Linked DNA regions of Astyanax mexicanus. Each later gene encodes a partner of the first gene's protein in a complex. Links are inferred from orthologs where the notes say so. Each region holds a gene or a part of one and is shown in the gene's direction. Other genes may lie near its edges. The genes, in order: phf2 and vrk1.

The links.
Region 2: the proteins of phf2 (region 1) and vrk1 are in contact, whole or in part, in a crystal structure (PDB 8F8Y), measured with the Homo sapiens proteins. The link is inferred for Astyanax mexicanus from reciprocal best matches to the Homo sapiens genes PHF2 and VRK1. Residues at the interface, in NP_005383.3 of Homo sapiens: Tyr7, Tyr14, Val16, Thr17, Arg18, Phe19, Met20, Ile21, Glu22, Trp29, Glu39, Ala42, Ile45, Asp46, Tyr48, Lys64, Tyr145, Ser147, Glu150, Lys175, Val178, Asp179, Tyr182, Ser183, Thr184; in NP_003375.1 of Homo sapiens: Pro2, Arg3, Val4, Lys5, Ala6, Ala7, Gln8.

Annotation. Positions count from the first base shown.
Region 1 is NC_064431.1:32,873,020-32,882,662, forward strand, and holds the start of phf2 (lysine-specific demethylase phf2), read left to right. Parts: upstream 1-5,849; 5' UTR 5,850-5,878; coding exon 5,879-5,976; intron 5,977-9,643. UniProt on the Homo sapiens protein: Lysine demethylase that demethylates both histones and non-histone proteins. Enzymatically inactive by itself, and becomes active following phosphorylation by PKA: forms a complex with ARID5B and mediates demethylation of methylated ARID5B.
Region 2 is NC_064421.1:5,352,233-5,361,998, forward strand, and holds the start of vrk1 (serine/threonine-protein kinase VRK1), read left to right. Parts: upstream 1-6,060; 5' UTR 6,061-6,146; intron 6,147-6,502; 5' UTR 6,503-6,561; intron 6,562-9,456; coding exon 9,457-9,616; intron 9,617-9,709; coding exon 9,710-9,765; intron 9,766-9,766. UniProt on the Homo sapiens protein: Serine/threonine kinase involved in the regulation of key cellular processes including the cell cycle, nuclear condensation, transcription regulation, and DNA damage response.

The DNA of each region.
Region 1 (9,643 bases):
TTTTTATAGAGAGGGTGAAGGATGCCGGAAGGGTTCAGGGTTTTTGAGGAGAGTCTGGATGGAAAGATTGAAAGCGTAGAGTTGGTGAACGTTTTTTCCTCTCCGAAATATAAAAATAAAAAAAAGCAGAGAAAAGCTTAAAAAGCTTAACTAACTTGATGATAAACTTGAGGACTTTTACTGTATGAAATTTTCAGAAATTCCTCTTTCGACGTCAGCGAGTTAAAACCTGCGAGTAACGACGACATTTCTCAGCGCGAACGCAACACACACTCAACTCAACACGATAAAGAGATTTAAAAACGACGTTTCTTAGAGGAAAATAATTATAATAACACCAGTATATAAGGAGTTATAATATGGGTCTGCTCCCTCCTCACTGATGATATACAGTATAATAATAATATATTAATTAATATACACTATATTGGCAAATATATTCACTCGCTCACCTGCATTGCAAGGTTTGGATGAATTTGAGCCGATCGGTCATGTAAACCTCTCTTTATTCCATTACTGTTGTTCTAATCTGAAGCTACACGAAGTTTGGAGGTCTGTAATGTTGTAAACCAGGAAGGGTCCATCCCCAAACTGTTCCCACAAAGATAAAGGCATGAAAATGTCCAAAATCTCTTGGTTTGCTGAAGCATTAAATGCTTCTTCACTGAAACTAAAAAGGCTCGAGCTCAACTCCTAAAAACAACAAAAAAAACACCACCACCACCACACCATAATACTAATGATCCCCCCTCATCCAAACTTTTACACCTAGCACAATGCACCACTGCTGTCATTTCGATTTAAGATGATCGGTCATGTAAACCTCTCTCCATTCCATGAGTCTCTCTACACTGTTCTGTACTGTTCTTTACTCCACACCATACTAATGATCCCCCCTCATCCAAACTTTACACTCAGCACAATACAGCCAGACAAGTACTGTTCTCTTTACAAAACTGCTGTCATTCCCAGGCTCTTCCACTGTGTTATAATATCACTGACAGTTGGCTGTGGAATATTTAGTAGTGAGTAGTAGTGGGTAAATTTCACAACTGGACTTTTTGTTGCATGACTGGGTGCTGCATCCTACCCATCACGGTACCACAGTGCTGGAGTTCACTGAGCTCCTGAGAGCCTGAGACCCATCCTTTTACTAATAGACTGTTTGTAGAAGCAGTCCCAGCATGCCTTGCTGCTGCTTTTTATGTTTTATTAAACACCTGTGGACACGTAAGTGATTGGATTGAACACCTGAGTGAATATATGTTTGGCAATATAGTGCATATATATATAAAAATAGACATTTTTGATTTTACAGAACAGAATCTTCGTTCAGTAACTTCAGTAACTTTATAGGTTGAGATCTGTCTGTTAAGACTGTTCTATCAGTACTTGGCACCACATATATATATATCTATATATATATGAATAAATATATATATTTGCGCCATTATAATTGAATTTGTGTTGTGTCACAGTAAATATACAGCTTTTATTTTGAAATTTAGTTTGTTTAAGGTGAGCAAAACTCATGACAAAAAAAAACAAGAAGGAGCAAAATGATAAATTCACTGTGGGTGGTTTAGTCGTGCTTTAAAAAAAATAAAATGACGTAAATATACGTAAATATACTTGCAGCCTTAGGTTCTCTCCGTTTGATCGGTGTCATACTTTAGCAGTGTAAGAAACATCGGGACATCAAGAGACATCAAGCAAGAAGCGAAAATCGATTCATTTCTATCTGATCAATAGAAAATTAATGAACGTTTTCGTCAGAAACCGCCACGTGACTTATCGATTTATCCGTATCCGTGTGGTTTCTTGAATCAGTCGTAGAACATTATTATTAAAGAACATGAATAAAACGACGGTTTCAGCAACTTTCAGCAACTCTGCATGATTCTCTTCACGATGAAAATCGAGCAAAAATCAAAAATCAAAAAAAGGTGTGTAATTATTATTATTATGATTATTATTATTATTATTATTACGATGCATGTTGTCCTTTTTCTTTCCATCTCTACAAGTAAGTACTGTGCCCATTTGCAAAATCTTTGAAACATGGCTAATAATCAGTAATAATAGTCCTTATTAAAGGTGTTCTAACTGTTAGTCAGTAACTGATTTGCTCTAACCTTTTGAAATTCTTGTGATTTATCGACCTCTGTTGCATTTTACTCAGAAAAACTCTGGATTAATAATAAGAGAAAATAAAGAGAATATATCAGATGTTATCTAGCCACTTTAAATATTGTTAACCCTGGTGTACTACTCTTCCATCTCCATCCCTGTATCTGTTCTTGCCCTTTGTTGCTGCTGTTTTTGTGCATCTTCATAATTATCGCATATAAAAAAGAAGAAAAGAAAACGCTTTGATCTGTTTGAATGCCACGCCCCCTTTTTCTCTCTCTCTCTTTTTTAATTTTTTTTTTATTTATATAAAGCCTTCCCAAAGTCCCAAAACTCTTTACGCATTTCTTTCTTTTCAATTTTAAATGCTAAGAGACAAAAAATCATATTTTACATCATATTTTACATTATAATTGATCAAATCTGATTCTACATCATCCAAATTTATATAATTTAATTCAAAAATGCTTAAACAAACAAACAATCAAAAACAAACGCGATTTTCCTGCTTTTGTTTTGGCTGCTGCGCCTGCGCAGGTCTCCACAGCAAGCAGCAAGCTGATTGGCTCTTTTTGCTTAAAATGCAAAAAGACTTCATCCATAAATGTTGATATTAATATTAGTAATAAGAGTTCAGAGAAATCCCATTTTTACACAGAAGTAATTTTCCTCAGTCTCCTCGTTAATAAGGTCTCTATGCCCGTACGTTCTAGAGTTTAGCGTTAATAAGCACAGGTTAAGAACTTCGTAATCGTTTTTTTCGGTGTTTTGCGTTTTCGTGTTTTTTTCCCGGAGCTGCTTCTACTTCTGATTGAGAATCATTACTTACAAAAGTTTTCCATCTAATCCTCCTGATTAAGCTTTTCGTCGCACATTAGTGATCAGAAATATGGTGTACTATCCCCCCGCCCGCCAGACTAAATAGGTTACCTTAATGTAAGTTGATGGGAGTTGTTTCCTAACTCACAGGGTGAAGCGGATCGATCTACTGTGGGGTTTTGAGTGACTGTGGATGGATTGTGGTGTGATGTATTAGAAGGAAATTGAATGCAACTTACAATGCTTAATAAAAGTCTTTATTCTTTTAGTATAATTCCACTGTGTCTGTCTCTTTTTTATATTTATTGGGATTAGTTCTAAACCGTTAAGAGTTTGGCGATACGGCCCTAAAATAATATTGCAATATTTCAGGGTTCGCAATTTTGCTTGCGATAATGATGTTCCTGATGATACGAACAAAAAAAAAAACACTGGAAAAAATGAAGAGAGCACATCAGTTTCTCTGATTTTGCTATTTATAGGTTTATGTTTGAGTAAAATGAATATTGTTGTTTTATTCTATAAACTACAGACAACATTTCTCCCAAATTACAAATAAAAATATTCTCATTTAGAGCATTTATTTACAGAAAATGAGAAATGGTTGAAATAACAAAAAAGATGGAGAGCTTTCAGACCTCAAATAATGCAAAGACAACAATAAAAAAATAACCCTGGTTTTCATGCATCTTGGCATCATGTTCTCCTCCACCAGTCTTACACACTGCTTTTGGATAACTTTATGCTGCTTTACTCCTGGAGTAAAAATTCAAGCAGTTCAGTTTGGTGGTTTGATGGTTTGTGATCATCCATCTTCCTCTTGATTATATTCCAGAGGTTTTCAATTTGGTAAAATCAAAGAAACTCATCATTTTTAAGTGGTCTGTGAGCTGTATGCTGTAAATGTAGAGCTAAACTACCACTATACAAGAATCCAGCATCACATTTCTTTCCAGAGCTGTATATGTTTAGGTTACAAAGTGTAAAAACACAAAAAAACACACCAAAAAAACTCCCTAAAATTCCTAAAAATCAAGAAGTGTAATTTGTTTAAAGTTGGTGTGCGCCACCTACTTGTGAACATACTACACCCCTCATACAGCAGAACTGGTTACTTTATTTACTGTAAATATTTTGTGTCATTCATTCTTTGTGTCAGTTACATGTAGGCAGTAAAACTGTGCTGAAAGATAAGGTAATACGTTTATATTGTATTACACTTTTATATATACTACTACCTCTGGTCCTGGTGATTCCTCCTATTTAAAGTGTATAAGGACACAATATGGAAAAGAACGTTGAATAAAGGTATTTTGGCATCACTAATGCACTAAAACAACGTTGATCACCAGCATGTATGGTTAGTATTAGACTTTACTTACATTAAATTATCAGCATCAACCATTCAAAACCTTTAGCTAATAGCCTACATGAACGTTCATTCAATGTCAAACTTTTAATATGTCAACATTAACCGATGATCCCTATTATAGGTATTGTTAAATATTGTTAAAGTTTTTTTTCCATAATTATAGGTGTTTGTTTATTTCACCCTGCTGGCAAAGAATTACATTATCATTATCATATCAGCCTCGACTATTTAAAACATTTAGATAACAGCCTACATGAGTGTGATTTAGTGATAGAAGTGTAATAGGATGGAGACTACAGACTAGTAAGTAGCTCTCCAGCCCAGAGGGTTGTTGAACCCAAATGCAGAACAGTTGAATTCAAAGCAGGTAAACCCAAGAAGAAAGGAAAATAGTAAATAAATAAACACACCGCTCCTCACGCGGGATTGAACACGCCCTCATAAGTAGATGGGGAGTCCGAGAATGTGCAGAAAACCAAGAATGGACGGAAACTAAAGCCACGCCGAGCGCGACAAAAAGAGACAGAGGAGGAATTTAAACAAAAGCTCTCCAGAAAAGCATTTTATTTATTTATTTTTTTCCATTATCGTTCATAGTTCAAATAACCTCACGGGCCAGATGTTTCATGCTTGAGGGCCACATCATCTAGTGCTGGTCTTCACCTAGGTGGCACAGGGGCTTAGTGGTTAGCACGTATGCCCCCCAGCACTGGGGTCTTGGGTTCAAGTCCCTATCTGGGTGGACACTAGTTTCCTCCCACAGTCCAAAAAACATGGAAATCAGGTAAATTGGATACGGATACTCTAAATTGCCCAGAACAATTAAATACTCTAAATACATTTTGAAAATTGGGTACTCTAAATTGGTCTGGTGTGCATATGTAAAAAGTGTGTGGTATATATGTAAGTTGTGTGTGTGTAAAATGTATGTATGTAGTGCCTGATGCAGTCCTCCTCCAGGTGGACGGTCGTTTCCGGTTGAGAGTACGCTGTGCATTATTGGCTGCCTGGTGTTCTCACTGGTGTGTGGTTGAGTGCTGAGTTTAAATGGTTGTGTGTAAAATGTCTAAGTAAATTGTAAAGCGCCCTTAAGGTTTCTAGAAAGGCGCTATCTAAAGGTGTGAACTTAATTAATTAGAGCATCACTCCTGATAGGGGGAGTCTTAGTAATGAGTGGGTTGGGTTATAATTAATTGCCTAAGGTAAATTGGGGAGAAAATAGAATAAAAAAAAATAATAATAAAATTAATGTATATATTAATATATATATATAAAAAAAAACATAAACGTTTATTGAACATTCCTTCTTCCCACTCACTCATTCTCTCACTCATATTCTCTCTCTCTCTCTTTCTCTTTCTATCCCGCCCTTCACCCTCCACCACTCCGATCTGATGAACACACGCTCGATCTGAGGATCTCCCCCAGCTGCTGCTCAGCGCTACTGCATCCAGCCTTTTACTGCCTTCCTGCCCTCCCTCCTCCTCTCTCTCTCTCTCTTTCTCTCCCTCCCTCCCTCCCTCGCTCCTCCTCTGCTGTTGTGAATGCTGATCTAACATGGCGACCGTGCCCGTGTATTGCATCTGCAGGTTACCGTACGACGTAACCCAGTTCATGATCGAGTGCGACGCCTGTAAGGACTGGTTCCACGGCAGGTAAAGAAGCAGCGCTCGCGGCTCGCCGCGCGGCCGCCTCCGGGGCTCCGCCGGCCCGCGAACGAGCGCGGAGGGCTCCGGCTGCGGGTCTGCCCTCCCATCTTGGTGTTTTTTGTGTGTATTTTTCCTGCTCGCGCTTCGTTCTCTGTGTGCGCGCGAGAGGCCGCGCTCGGTTCCCCTTCAGCACTGCTGCCCGCCGCGGGGCTCCGGTTTGCGCCGTTTTTTCGGCGCGCGTTACCGGCGCAGATTAGCGCGCGCGCGCTGCTTTAGAGAAATTACTCGTATAGTAACATAGTAACATCGTTCTCGGGCGCCTTTTTTTTGTGAACGCGCGCGTGCGTGTGTGTGTATGTGTGTGTATATATATATATATATATATATATATATATATATATATATATATATATATGTATATGCGTGTGTGTGTATGTGTTTATATATGTGTGTATGCGTGTGTGTGTGTGTGTATGGTACAGAGAGAGAGAAAGAGAGAAAGACCCTGAGAGCGACCCTGACCATAAAGGCAAAGAACGTTAAAACATTAAACGTTAGCTTAAATAATAATAAAAAAGCTTTTTGTTGTTTTTCTTAGTTGCATGAGGTAAGGCTTGATGGTGGGGTGAAATAGCAATAGGAGGCGGCAGCCTTTAAACAACGTTTAACAACCTTTAACATTGCCCAGGCATGGAATTCTGACATTGAATCAACGTTCATGTAGGCTGTTGGCTAAATGCTTTGAATGGTTGGGCTACAATGCATCATTTAGGTGAAAGGTGCTGAAGGCGTTGAATCAGTGTCAAACCGATTTGCGGTTTCAATGATCAACTTTGTTTCAGTGCATTAGCGATGGAAGGGGGAGAGACCCTGATGATAGAGCAAAGAATAAATGTTAAATAAACGTTCATTAATTGTTGTTTTGGTTTTGCATTAGCCTATGTCTGTTTTCTTGAGGTTCGGTTTGAAAGGAGGCGGCAACCTTTAAACAACGTTTAACAACCTTTAACATTGCCCAGGCATGGAATTCTGACATTGAATCAACGTTCATGTAGGCTGTTGGCTAAATGCTTTGAATGGTTGGGCTACGAAGCATCATTTAGGTGAAAGGTGCTGAAGTCGTTGAATCAGTGTTAAACCGATTTGCGGTTTCAGTGATCAACTTTGTTTCAGTGCATTAGCGATGGAAGGGGGAGTGACCCTGATGATAGAGCAAAAAGTAAACGTTAAATAAATGTTAATTAATTGATGTTTTGGTTTTGCATTAGCATATGTCTGTTATCCTGATAGGCTTGATGATTGAGGAAAAAGAAGGCGGCAAACTTTAAACAGTGTTTAACAACCTTTAACATTCCCTAAGCATGGGATTCTGACATTGAATCAATGTAGGCTATTAGCTAAATGCATCTTTTAGGTGAAAGGTGCTAAAGCCTCACAGATAATAATATTACTATTATTACATTAGCATTACACGTACATGCTATTTAATGTAATTACCATTTTAATACGAACCATACACTCTGAATCAGTGTAAAATCGATTTGCAGTTTCAGTGCAAGGGGAGTGACCCTGATGGTACTTTAAAGAACGTTAAATTAACGTCAATTTATTTTTGTTTTGGTTTTGCATTAGCCTATGTCTGTTATTTGGGGTTAAGCTTGATAATGGTAAAAAAGCAGGTTCCCTTTCACAATATTTAACATTGACTGTAATGTCATCTGACATTAAATCAACGTTCATGTAAGCTATTAACTAAAGGTTTTGAATGGTTGGGCCATAATGCTTATTTAGGTGAAAGGTACTTAACTGCTGTTTTGGTTTTGCATTAGCCTATGTTTAGGTTGATGATGAAATAAAGGAGGCAACCTTTAAACAACATTTAAAAACGTTTAACATTGCCTAGGCATGAAATTCTGACATTGAATCAATGTAGGCTATTAGCTAAAGGCTTTGAATGGTTGGGCTGCAATGCTTCTTTAAGGTAAAAGGTGCTAACGTCTCACAGATAATAATATTACTATTTTTACATTAGCATTACACAGTGCATGCTATTTAATGTAATTAACCATTTAATACGAACCATACACGTTGATTCATTGTAAAATCAAAGTGTTGATTTGCGGCTTTGGAGATCAACTTTGTTTCAGTGCATTAGCAATGGAAGGGAGAGTAACCCTGATGGCAGAGCATATAATGTTAAATAAACGTTAAATAATTGATAAAGGTTAATTAAACAAATAAAGCAGACAACCTTTAAATGGCCTGTGAAAACATTTATAATTGTCTGTAAAAGGCAGCACAGGTTATTGTTAGTGTTGAAATTCTGACATTGAATTAACGTTCACAAATAATAAGAATACTTGTTATTAATAATTATTATGTAGGCTAAATATCACTTTCTACACTGCAACTTGAGAGATCATGTGCACAAATATATCACTTCTGATAGTGGGAGATAAACATTGTTTCAGTGTATTAAATGTATTTGCAATGGAAAAATAAACGTCGATTAAACATGGTACTTTTTTGCTATCTGTGGAGCTAAAAAGGCTTTGCTAGCTGACTAATATCTGACTTAGGCTTATAACAGCTGGTTGTCTAGCTGTGCAACAACAGTAACAGTGCAGAAAAGGGCTAATTTGTTTAAAAACGTTCTTGAGATGTTCTGGGCTATTTTTGACCCTTCTTTTTGCTTCAGTTTGCACCAAAAAATATTTTTGATAATTATTATTTAGGCTAAATGTCCCTTTCTGCACTGCAAGACATATAATACCATAACATCTACTTAATGTTGTGAAATCGATGTGCACATATAAATCACTTCTGATGTTGGGAGATAAACATTGTTTCGGTATTCGGTATTAAATGTATTTGTGATGGAAAAATAAACGTCGATTAAACGTAGGTTACTTTTTTTTGCTTTATGTGGAGCTAAAAAGGCTGTGTTAGCTACCTAGCTAATATCTGACTGAGGTTTACAGCTGGTTATCTAGCTCTGCAACATCAATAACAGTGCAGAAATAGGGTTAATACGTTTAAAAACGTTCTTGGGATGTTCTGTGCCATTCTGGACCGTTATTTTTGCTTCAGTTTGCACCAAAAAATACTTTTTTCTGAGTTAATTTGAACCGTAAACAACATACAGCTAAAGCTAGCGTTAGCTCTGAGGCAGAATAATAATAGCCTGGCTGTGTCACACACTGCAGATTTTACCTCAGAACAGCAGTATCTGTTTAAATCACTTCATATCACCTCATTTATCGCACAAACCGATCAGATCGATCGATTAAACACTCGATTGATTAGTTTGTTTGGTCACTAGCTTGCTAACCCTGCTAATCACCCGCTCTTCCGCCCACTGACAGCAGCGGGTAGCGGCAGCAGCCGTAGCCGGGCGAGTCTTCACAGTCAGCGGGAAGCAGCTACGGCAGCTCCCGCCGCGGAGATCCGGCTCTATACCCGTCATTTTTCGCTAAATTCATCGTTTTAACGTTCGTTTCTGATTCTACAAACACTTTTAAACACGTTAACACGACGTTTAATCAGACTTTTGCCTCCGAAAGCTCGGCATTAATGGAAAGACTGAGGGAGAAAGAGAGGAAGCCCCATTGACTGAGACATTTTACGCGCCTAATGTTTTAACCCTTTCATTACTGCAGTGCTTCTTATTGAT
Region 2 (9,766 bases), on another chromosome or scaffold:
TACAGTAATTGTACTAATGGTATTATTTATACATAAAAAGCATGATGTAACTAAATAACTTAAAAAAATATTATTATACTGTTTTTTATATCACTGATTAATATTAACACTAAGCCTATATTTTGTATTACTGACATAGTTCATATTTCACTGTTAACCACTGCCATATATCATATTAATCATCTTTTATCTATTTGTTTATTGACTATTAGCATGTTTACTTCTAAAAAAACATTTTTGTTTCTACCAAAAACATTACTATCAGTCTTACCTGGACATTAATGAATTTGAATCTTATTAAATCATCTGTTTCAAAACATCTAGGTCACTGGGAGCTGCTAGCTGAGCAGCGGTAAGGCTGGGTTATCATGTTTGTGAAAATCCGAATCAGAATTAAGACGCAGAGACGTTTCCATCAAACCACGTGACGCTGCACTGCAATTTACATGAAACCATAACAATCCCATTTAAAGAGAGCTTGTTCATATTGCACATACTGAGTATAAATAGATCTGTGATAAGGTATAAACGTCACAACTGAAAAACACACATCTCTAATCTCTCATCTCTAATCAGAGGACAGAAAATAAAGAGTTATAAGATTTTTGTTATGTTTTGTATATTATATTATATTTGAGTGCCACAAAAAAAAAAAAAAAAAAAAAAAAAAAAAAATATATATATATATATATATATATATATTTGGAAATGTATGCTTTGCTGATATGTTTTCAGAGTGTTTAGTAATCAGTTGATAAATAAATCAATGCATGTTTTATCCCCAACCAAAAAATATATATTTTACTAATAATTTGTTATATTCAAATTCATAGTTCTGTAGTGGGGATGGCAAAAAAACACTTTCAGTAATGGGGCAAGTAAGTGTAAAGTGTAAATAATAATAATAATAATAATAATAATAATAATAATAATAATAATAATAATAATAAACATGTAAATACTGTATATTGGATACATTTGCATAATATATGTATGATACTGTGGATAATAAAACAGTGGTTGGTGTAGATTAGCAAATTATTATTACCTAGAACATAATATGATATATATATATATATATTTTATTTTGCAATATAGAAAAATGTAATTTAATATAAATACAATTGTACCATTTCTTTTTTACAGTATTTTGCATTAATATATCATGATATTTCATAGTATTTTTGCAGTAACTGTATTCTTGGTAATGTGACAAAATACTGATATTTTTTAGAATTCATTTAAAGAATGATAAACTACTACAATAAACTACTGCAACACAATTAATATTAAAGTACTATAATAATAATAATAATAATAATAATAATAATAATAATAATAATAATAATAATAATAATAATAATAATAATACACAAATGTTGTATATTGGACACATGTGTTGCATAATATACGTACGATACACAGATTTTGGTTTTTACGGCTTCTGTGTTGTTTAAATCGCAACGTTGCTTGTAAATATATCTACACTGATGGGTGGTGGTCTGGAAATAAGGTGTGTTCAGGAAAATGTCTGATGTATTCACAGATGCTTCACTGTCTAAATACAACCTAGACAGACCTTAACAGTCAGACGTTCATTGCTATCTTGTCAGTGAATTGTCAACACACAGGCACATCCCTAACACTCGTACACCCCCAGCTTTTACACACAGGGACAAAGTGCGTTGCAATCCTCGATGCTGTCTTACACCCAGTCAAAAGTCTATTTTCACGCTGTTAAAATAGTGTCAATAAATTTACATTGATGTCTGCCATGTTTCTATCTTGGCGGCGGGAAATACAGGTGTGTCACGGACTGATTAAAACCCTGACAACAGTCAACAGTCAGCCGCCCAATCCTATCTTATCCATGCTGGAGTGTCATGCACCCTCAGAACACCTACAATGCAATGCAGAGCACAAATCCAGCTTTTACATAAATAATGAACAGAATAAAGAATAAAATAACATTGCTGAATTTTATTTTTTTATAGATTTTTTTAGACTCATTTTGTGCACCCTCATGATACTCTAAATACAGCTGCGTGAGCCGCAATTGACTGATGCGCTATAGATGGCTAAAATAGGGCCCTAAGTGTACTTTACCCATCGTTACGATAGCAAAGACACACCAAAACATGTTGACAGCTCACCTACAGATTAAAGATAGCTTAAACAGGGCCTGTTTAAGCAGAAACCTAAAAAGAACTTTAAAATCATCAGTGGTTTAATGGTTTATTAGTGTTTAAATACTTTTCATGGCCGCTGTAGATGTATATAAGCTGCTGCAGATCACACACAGGAACGAGTGAACGAGGACGAAGGAGGAGAGACTGTATGGAGAGAACAGCAGCAGCTCACCATCCCGCAGTGTGTCCCTGCTCTCAGCAAAGCCTGACACCATCTCCTCGTCAGGAGGGAAGGACACGCGCTTTTCCCCTCTGCACTTCTTTCCAAACGGGCGTGTCGCCTCTTCCTCTGTGTGACCTGTCATTGTCGTCGGCAGCGCGGCCCAGATACCAGGAGCTTCACTCGATGTAGGCCATCCGAGCGCTGGTAGTCTGAATAGGCACTAACGGCGGTTGACATCCAGTAATATTTGATGAAGTAAACACGAGTCTATCCTCATGGCTATACCCGCGCCGGAACGGCTATGGAAACATCATCCAATTCTTATTCCATCTGACAACAAAACCAGTCAATGAACTCCGGGATCCACTTGTGCGAACTGCTCTGTCGCAGTTCCAAAACAGTCGGATGGCAGCTGGAAACTTAAGACCAGTGCTTAACACTTTTACAAAGCAGTTACAGGATACCACAGCATCCATTATTAATGATGCCCGTGCCTCTCAGTGCTGGTGGAACTCCATTTCAACATCAAATATGCACACAGCGATATGCTGTGTAAGAACACAAATGAAACACTCGGATGAAAATGCATTTTTGAGCACAGAGTTTCTGAGAAAAACCAAATATAACCCACCCGCACCACAAAGGACCGCGTCGCAGGGTCGCCTACACACAAACGGTAATTGCTAAGGTACACACAGTCTGAGCAAACACTATTAATAGGCCATGTTTTGAATAAAAACTAAAACAATACAGCATTTATATTCATATTCATACAATGTAGTAGGGCTGGGCGATATTGTAAAAAAAATATATATTCTAAATATTTTTTAAATATATGAGCGATTTTTTGTTATTTTTACATAACAACATATATTGTTTTATTTCTAAACAAAAAGCAACAAGCTATTTATATTTGTATATGTTTCCTTTATATTTAATGTAAATTGTAATGTCTATTGTAAACGAATAGTTAAAATAGTATGCAAACAAAACGTCCTTGCATTTCCTTATAAAACAGTTCTTCACAGGTTTCTGACAGAAGAAAATATCTACTGTGTCTACTGAGATTCCCTCTGGCAGCTCCTGTATGTTCTAAGATCTACAATCGCGATTATGCCTTTTTGAAAATTGCATTAAAACAGTAACTTGATTATTAAATTTATCGGATTAACCTCACAGTCCTACACTGTAGTGGTTGGATAGTTCAATTCCTCAACTGGGCAACAAATACCACACTACAACAAAAAGAGTAAATTATTATTGACTAGAACTAAAACAATATTTTTAACTTATTATTTTTTATTTTTTGCAACATAGCAAAATGTAATTTTACACATTCCTTTTTCCAGTATTTTGCATAAATACATTATTATATGTCATGGTATTTTTGCAATATCAGTATTCTTGGTAATATGACAAAACTGACATTATTAAAATTAATTTCAAGAATATAAAACTACAATAAACTACTGCAACAAGATTAATAGTAAAGTACTATTTAGTATTAAATATAACATATTTTATACATTTAGTAGAAACAAATAATTCATAATTGTGTTTGTCTATTTCGTAAACAATTCTTATATAACAAAACTCTAAATAACCAAAACTCTGAGTTTATATAAAATAATAAGTGTAACAAAATGAAAAATATAAAAACATAAAGTAAATATAACAATGGAAATCTACCACAAAACTAAAGTACAGCATATTGAGTGCATACATATAAACTGCAAACAAACAACTAAACTTTTAAGAATATCAAAAATATACTTTTTTTATTATGTTAAATTTTGATTGATATTATTGTGTTTGATACAATATAGAACACCCCTATTATTAACAATACATTCATGTATTGATCTTAAAACTAAATATTTAAAAAAGTAGTGTGTAATAGTAGTGTGGCAAATATTAGTGCCTAAAGACAAGGTTTAAAAAAGGGAAATTCTGCAGTGCTTTAAGCACAAGTTTCATGTTTTGAAGCTTCGGCTGAAATGGAAAATTGTCCTGCCCTCATTAAACAAATGTGTGTGGGTTTTAAAGCCTAGTTTCAGAAAAGTTTACAGGTGTTTACAGGTGCTATAAGTTAATTAATCTAATATCTGTAATATCCAGATAATTTTATGAGGCCGTTTGCGGCAGAAATAGCATTTCAGTTTGTTGTAGTCTGGTCTTATTTATTTAGCAGTGTCGTTAAACTTGTTTTACTACAGTTTCTACAGTTTTATCCCTTTAAAATGTCCAAACATTATGAAACAATGTCAGTTTTTAGTACTTTTCCTCACAGTTCACAGCAACTATACCTCAAATATGGCGGCTTGGTGACGTCACACGCATTAAACCCCACTTGTGAATGAACTCCTTCAGTAAACGGCCTTAATTAAACATTTTCACAATTAATGAAGGTAAAGGTGAGCATAATTCACTCTCCCGCAACTGAAATCGCAGACAAGCCACAGCTAGTTTATGGCGAGAGTACCCACTTCCGATCATAGAAAATTACTGCTCACCGCTAGAGGGAGCCCCCGAGTGAGACCAATATGAATGGGAGTGAATGGAGCTAAACAGCTAAAAACACAAATAAAAAACAGTAACTAACCACTTTATAAGAATATTTATTTAGTTTTGAAAAGTAGAATGATGCATTTTGCTAAAAAAACAAAGAAAACATACCTTTATTATTTTCTGCAGTAAAATATTATAAAATAAATATTTTTAGGCAATAAAGGTGCTAGCATTACTGCTACTGTGTGCTGATTGGTTGATGAGCTGATGCTAGGTTACAGCCAGAGCACGTTTAAAAGGTTTATAAGTGGAGTTTAAACGCTTTTAAAATTGTCTGCATTTTCTGAAACATTTGACATTTTTTTAATGAACCAGGAACATAAACTGGTAGTTTTTTGTAAATGTGAATTTACTTACATTTTGTTTTAAATGTTAAACTATGGATGTGCACTACTTAATGTTAAATGTGAATTGGCACAAAATGAACTTGCACTAATGAAATTGCTTATAAACCTGCTGACCTCCATTATTTTACCCTCTATGGCAGAGTGTTGCCCTCCAAAAAAAAAAAAAAAACCTACACCATACCCTAGAGTTACTTATTTTTTAAATGTATTTATTTGTATATTTATTTTTAATATAATGTTACATTACAAGGAATATCTATGCCCATTGCAATGAGACCTACAAGTGGGTCATAAATAAAAATATGTAATTGTGCGACAATAGGTAAAAAAGTATATTTGGCTGTTTATTTACTTATTATATTATTTTTACATTAAATTTTACATTACTTAGCAATTAGCGTACACTTTTATCCAAAACAACTTAAAAATATTTACATGTGCAATAGAGCAATAATCTTTTGTACACTCCTGCATATTTTGGGTGCTTCCTTGCTCTAAAACGTCAGATTTAAAAGATTAGTTTATTATAAAAAGACAAAATATTTGACTATATTTGATATATCCACTCCAAAAATGTTTTTTTTTCTCCCAATAAATATAGTCCATGCCATAGAGGGTTAAACATTTTTTTTAAAGATTTATACTTATAATGTGTCAAACCAACGTCAAATTATTAAAGTTAAGTCGTAACAATATCATTTCATGCAAATAAAATATGTAATTTAGTCACAACATGTAAACTTTTGCCACAAATCGACTAAACTACAAACAACTACAAATCCCAGGGCTCATTGCGTTCCCCGCCTTGACCAATCAGCTTCCTCCTTTCAGCAGAAGTTGTGCGGGAATTTTGGAGCCGGTAGAAAGCAAAACACAGAGGTTAGTAAATATTATTAAATGTAATATTAATAACCGCGCTGATTCGCGCTGCTGCCGGCGGATAGAGAGGAGAGGAGGGGCTGGATTTAACGCTGTCGGGCTGTGCTGGGTGTTTTAACCGTGTTGGGTTTAAACTGAGAGAGAGTTAGCGCCTAAGCTAAGCTAAGTTAGCATGCTGGGTCTGAACTGCGTCAAGCCTGTTAGCATTAGCTTTAGCTTTAGCTGGATGATCTCAGCTCTACATTAATAGCTATATAACTTAACTCCGTTTATAAATGATATACATTGGAGAGTGATAATAGCTTGGCTGTATTATTATTTAACACTGCTGATTAATATTGTGTTTGTGTTTATAGCAGAGCTAACCTCACTCAGACAGTTTACTGGAAGCTGCTGCTGCAAAGTGAAAATAAAAGTGAGTGAAGTTTAGTAACAATTAAATATATATCTCCCTTAACTGGAGGAAAAGGAACGAGTGTTGCCCGTTTTCTTGATTCACTGTTTATTGAAGTTTCTAATGCTGTCTGTCGCTCTTTTTCATTGTTTATCTGTCTTTCTCTTTGCATATCTTGCTAGCTAACTAACTAGCTGTCTGACTAACACGCTAAAGTCCATTCTAATTTCTATATGTCTATGGCTATGTCTCTGTCTATCTATCTGTCTATCTGGCTGTGTGTCTGTCTGTCTGTCTGTCTTTCAGTCCGGGTATGTCTAGTCATCTATCTCCATATCATATCATCTATCTCTGGCTATCTCCATCCATCCGTCTGTCTGTCTATCTGTCTGTCCATTTAGCTATCTCTGTCTGTCTATTTGTCTATCTGGCTACCTCTGGCTGTCTATATCTTTTCTTGTATCTGTCTGTCTCTCTGTCTATTTGGCTGTCCCTATATGTCTTTTTTTTTTACGTCTGACGTCTCCATCCGTGTGTCTGTCTGTCTTTTTGGCTATCTCTATCTGTCTTTTTTTTCCATCTATCTGGCTGTCTCCATCTGTGTATATATCTCTCTGTCTATCCAACTCTATCTTTCTTTATCTCTCTTTATCTGTCTATTTATCTTACTTTTTATACATCTGCCTCATTTTTATCTGTGTGCATCTGTATATATCTCTGTCTTTCTATCTACTGATATTAACACCACATATCGAAATATCAAGGAGCACAAAACATGATTCATGATTAGACTAACTGTTATTAATTAATTTATTAATCTAATTTCTAATAAAGTTTGTGTTTATTAATACTGTTAATAAATGCTTTAATGTTTGCTTGATTTAATGTGTATATGACCATTAATGTAAACAGGACATATATATATATATATATATATATATATATATATATATATATATATATATATATATATATATATACACACACACACTACCGTTCAAAAGTTTGGGGTCACATTGAAACGTCCTTATTTTTGAAGGAAAAGCACTGTACTTTTCAATGAAGATAACTTTAAACTAGTCCTAACTTTAAACAAATACACTCTGTACATTGCTAATGTGGTAAATGACTATTCTAGCTGCAAATGTCTGGTTTTGGTGCAATATCTACATAGGTGTATAGAGGCCCATTTCCAGCAACTATCACTCCAGTGTTCTAATGGTACAATGTGTTTGCTCATTGGCTCAGAAGGCTAATTGATGATTAGAAAACCCTTGTGCAATCATGTTCACACACCTGAAAACAGTCTAGCTCATTACAGAAGCTACAAAACTGACCTTCCTTTGAGCAGATTGAGTTTCTGGAGCATCACATTTGTGGGGTCAATTAAACGCTCAAAATGGCCAGAAAAAGAGAACTTTCATCTGAAACTCGACAGTCTATTCTTGTTCTTAGAAATGAAGGCTATTCCATGCGAGAAATTGCTAAGAAATTGAAGATTTCCTACAACGGTGTGTACTACTCCCTTCAGAGGACAGCACAAACAGGCTCTAACCAGAGTAGAAAAAGAAGTGGGAGGCCGCGTTGCACAACTAAGCAAGAAGATAAGTACATTAGAGTCTCTAGTTTGAGAAACAGACGCCTCACAGGTCCCCAACTGGCATCTTCATTAAATAGTACCCGCAAAACACCAGTGTCAACATCTACAGTGAAGAGGCGGCTGCGGGATTTTGGGCTTCAGGGCAGAGTGGCAAAGAAAAAGCCATATCTGAGACTGGCTAATAAAAGAAAAAGATTAAGACGGGCAAAAGAACACAGACATTGGACAGAGGAAGACTGGAAAAAAGTGTTGTGGTCGGATGAATCCAAGTTTGAGGTGTTTGGATCACAAAGAAGAACGTTTGTGAGACGCAGAACAAATGAAAAGATGCTGGAAGAATGCCTGACGCCATCTGTTAAGCATGGTGGAGGTAATGTGATGGTCTGGGGTTGCTTTGGTGCTGGTAGGGTGTGAGATTTGTACAGGGTAAAAGGGATTCTGAATAAGGAAGGCTATCACTCCATTTTGCAACGCCATGCCATACCCAGTGGACAGCGCCTGATCGGAGCCAATTTCGTCCTACAACAGGACAATGACCCTAAACACACCTCCAAATTGTGCAAGAACTATTTACAGCAGAAGCAGGCAGCTGGTATTCTATTGGTAATGGAGTGGCCAGCACAGTCACCAGATCTGAACCCCATTGAGCTGTTGTGGGAGCAGCTTGACCGTATGGTACGCCAGAAGTGCCCATCCAACCAATCCAACTTGTGGGAGCTGCTTCTAGAAGCGTCGGGTGCAATTTCTCCAGCTTACCTCAACAAATTAACAGCTAGAATGCCAAAGGTGTGCAATGCTGTAATTGCTGCAAATGGAGGATTCTTTGATGAAAGCAAAGTCTGATGTAAAAACAATGTTATTTCAAATACAAATCATTATTTCTAACCTTGTTAATGTCTTGACTCTATTTTCTATTCATTTTACAACGTATGGTGGTGAATAAGTGTGACTTTTCATGGAAAACTTTTCATGGGTTACGGTCCCAAACCACACCCTTGTGTGGTGAACCATTTTTACCTCACTGTTTGGTGTGATAGTGTGTCATTAGGAACACAGCCAACATTTTTTTTTGCGGGTAATGCAGGCTAATGTTTTTGTAATTGATAGTGTGGGTGAGACGCCCTAGTCCTAAAACATATTGTAAAATAACGATACAATTACATAATTACTTAATTTTCTGTATCATTTACCTTAAGATTTAGTTTTTAGATTCAGAGATTCAGCAGACTCTATAGACGTCCATTCACTAAAGTCTTTAGAGTGTCATTTTTAGTCTTTGTTGTAATCTAAATCTTTATTATGCTCTGAATCATCAGATGCCTCCCAAAGCCAGGGCAGCAGGAAAAGGAAAGGGTCCAGCTAAGAGAAAACTGGCCGAGGAATTCCCACCTGGAGAAATCCTGACGGACACAGCGAAGAAAAGCTGGAAACTCGGAGCGCCGATCGGCCAGGGAGGCTTTGGTCTCTTGTATCTGGGTAAGAGTTTGTGAAACATTTAGCTTTTATTAAAAGGTATATTAATATCTGGTGTGAAATGACACATAAGTGACTGTAATTTTCTCTTTTCAGCAAGTGATGATACTTCCAGAGCTGTTGGAGCCGATGCGCCATATGTCATCAAAGTGG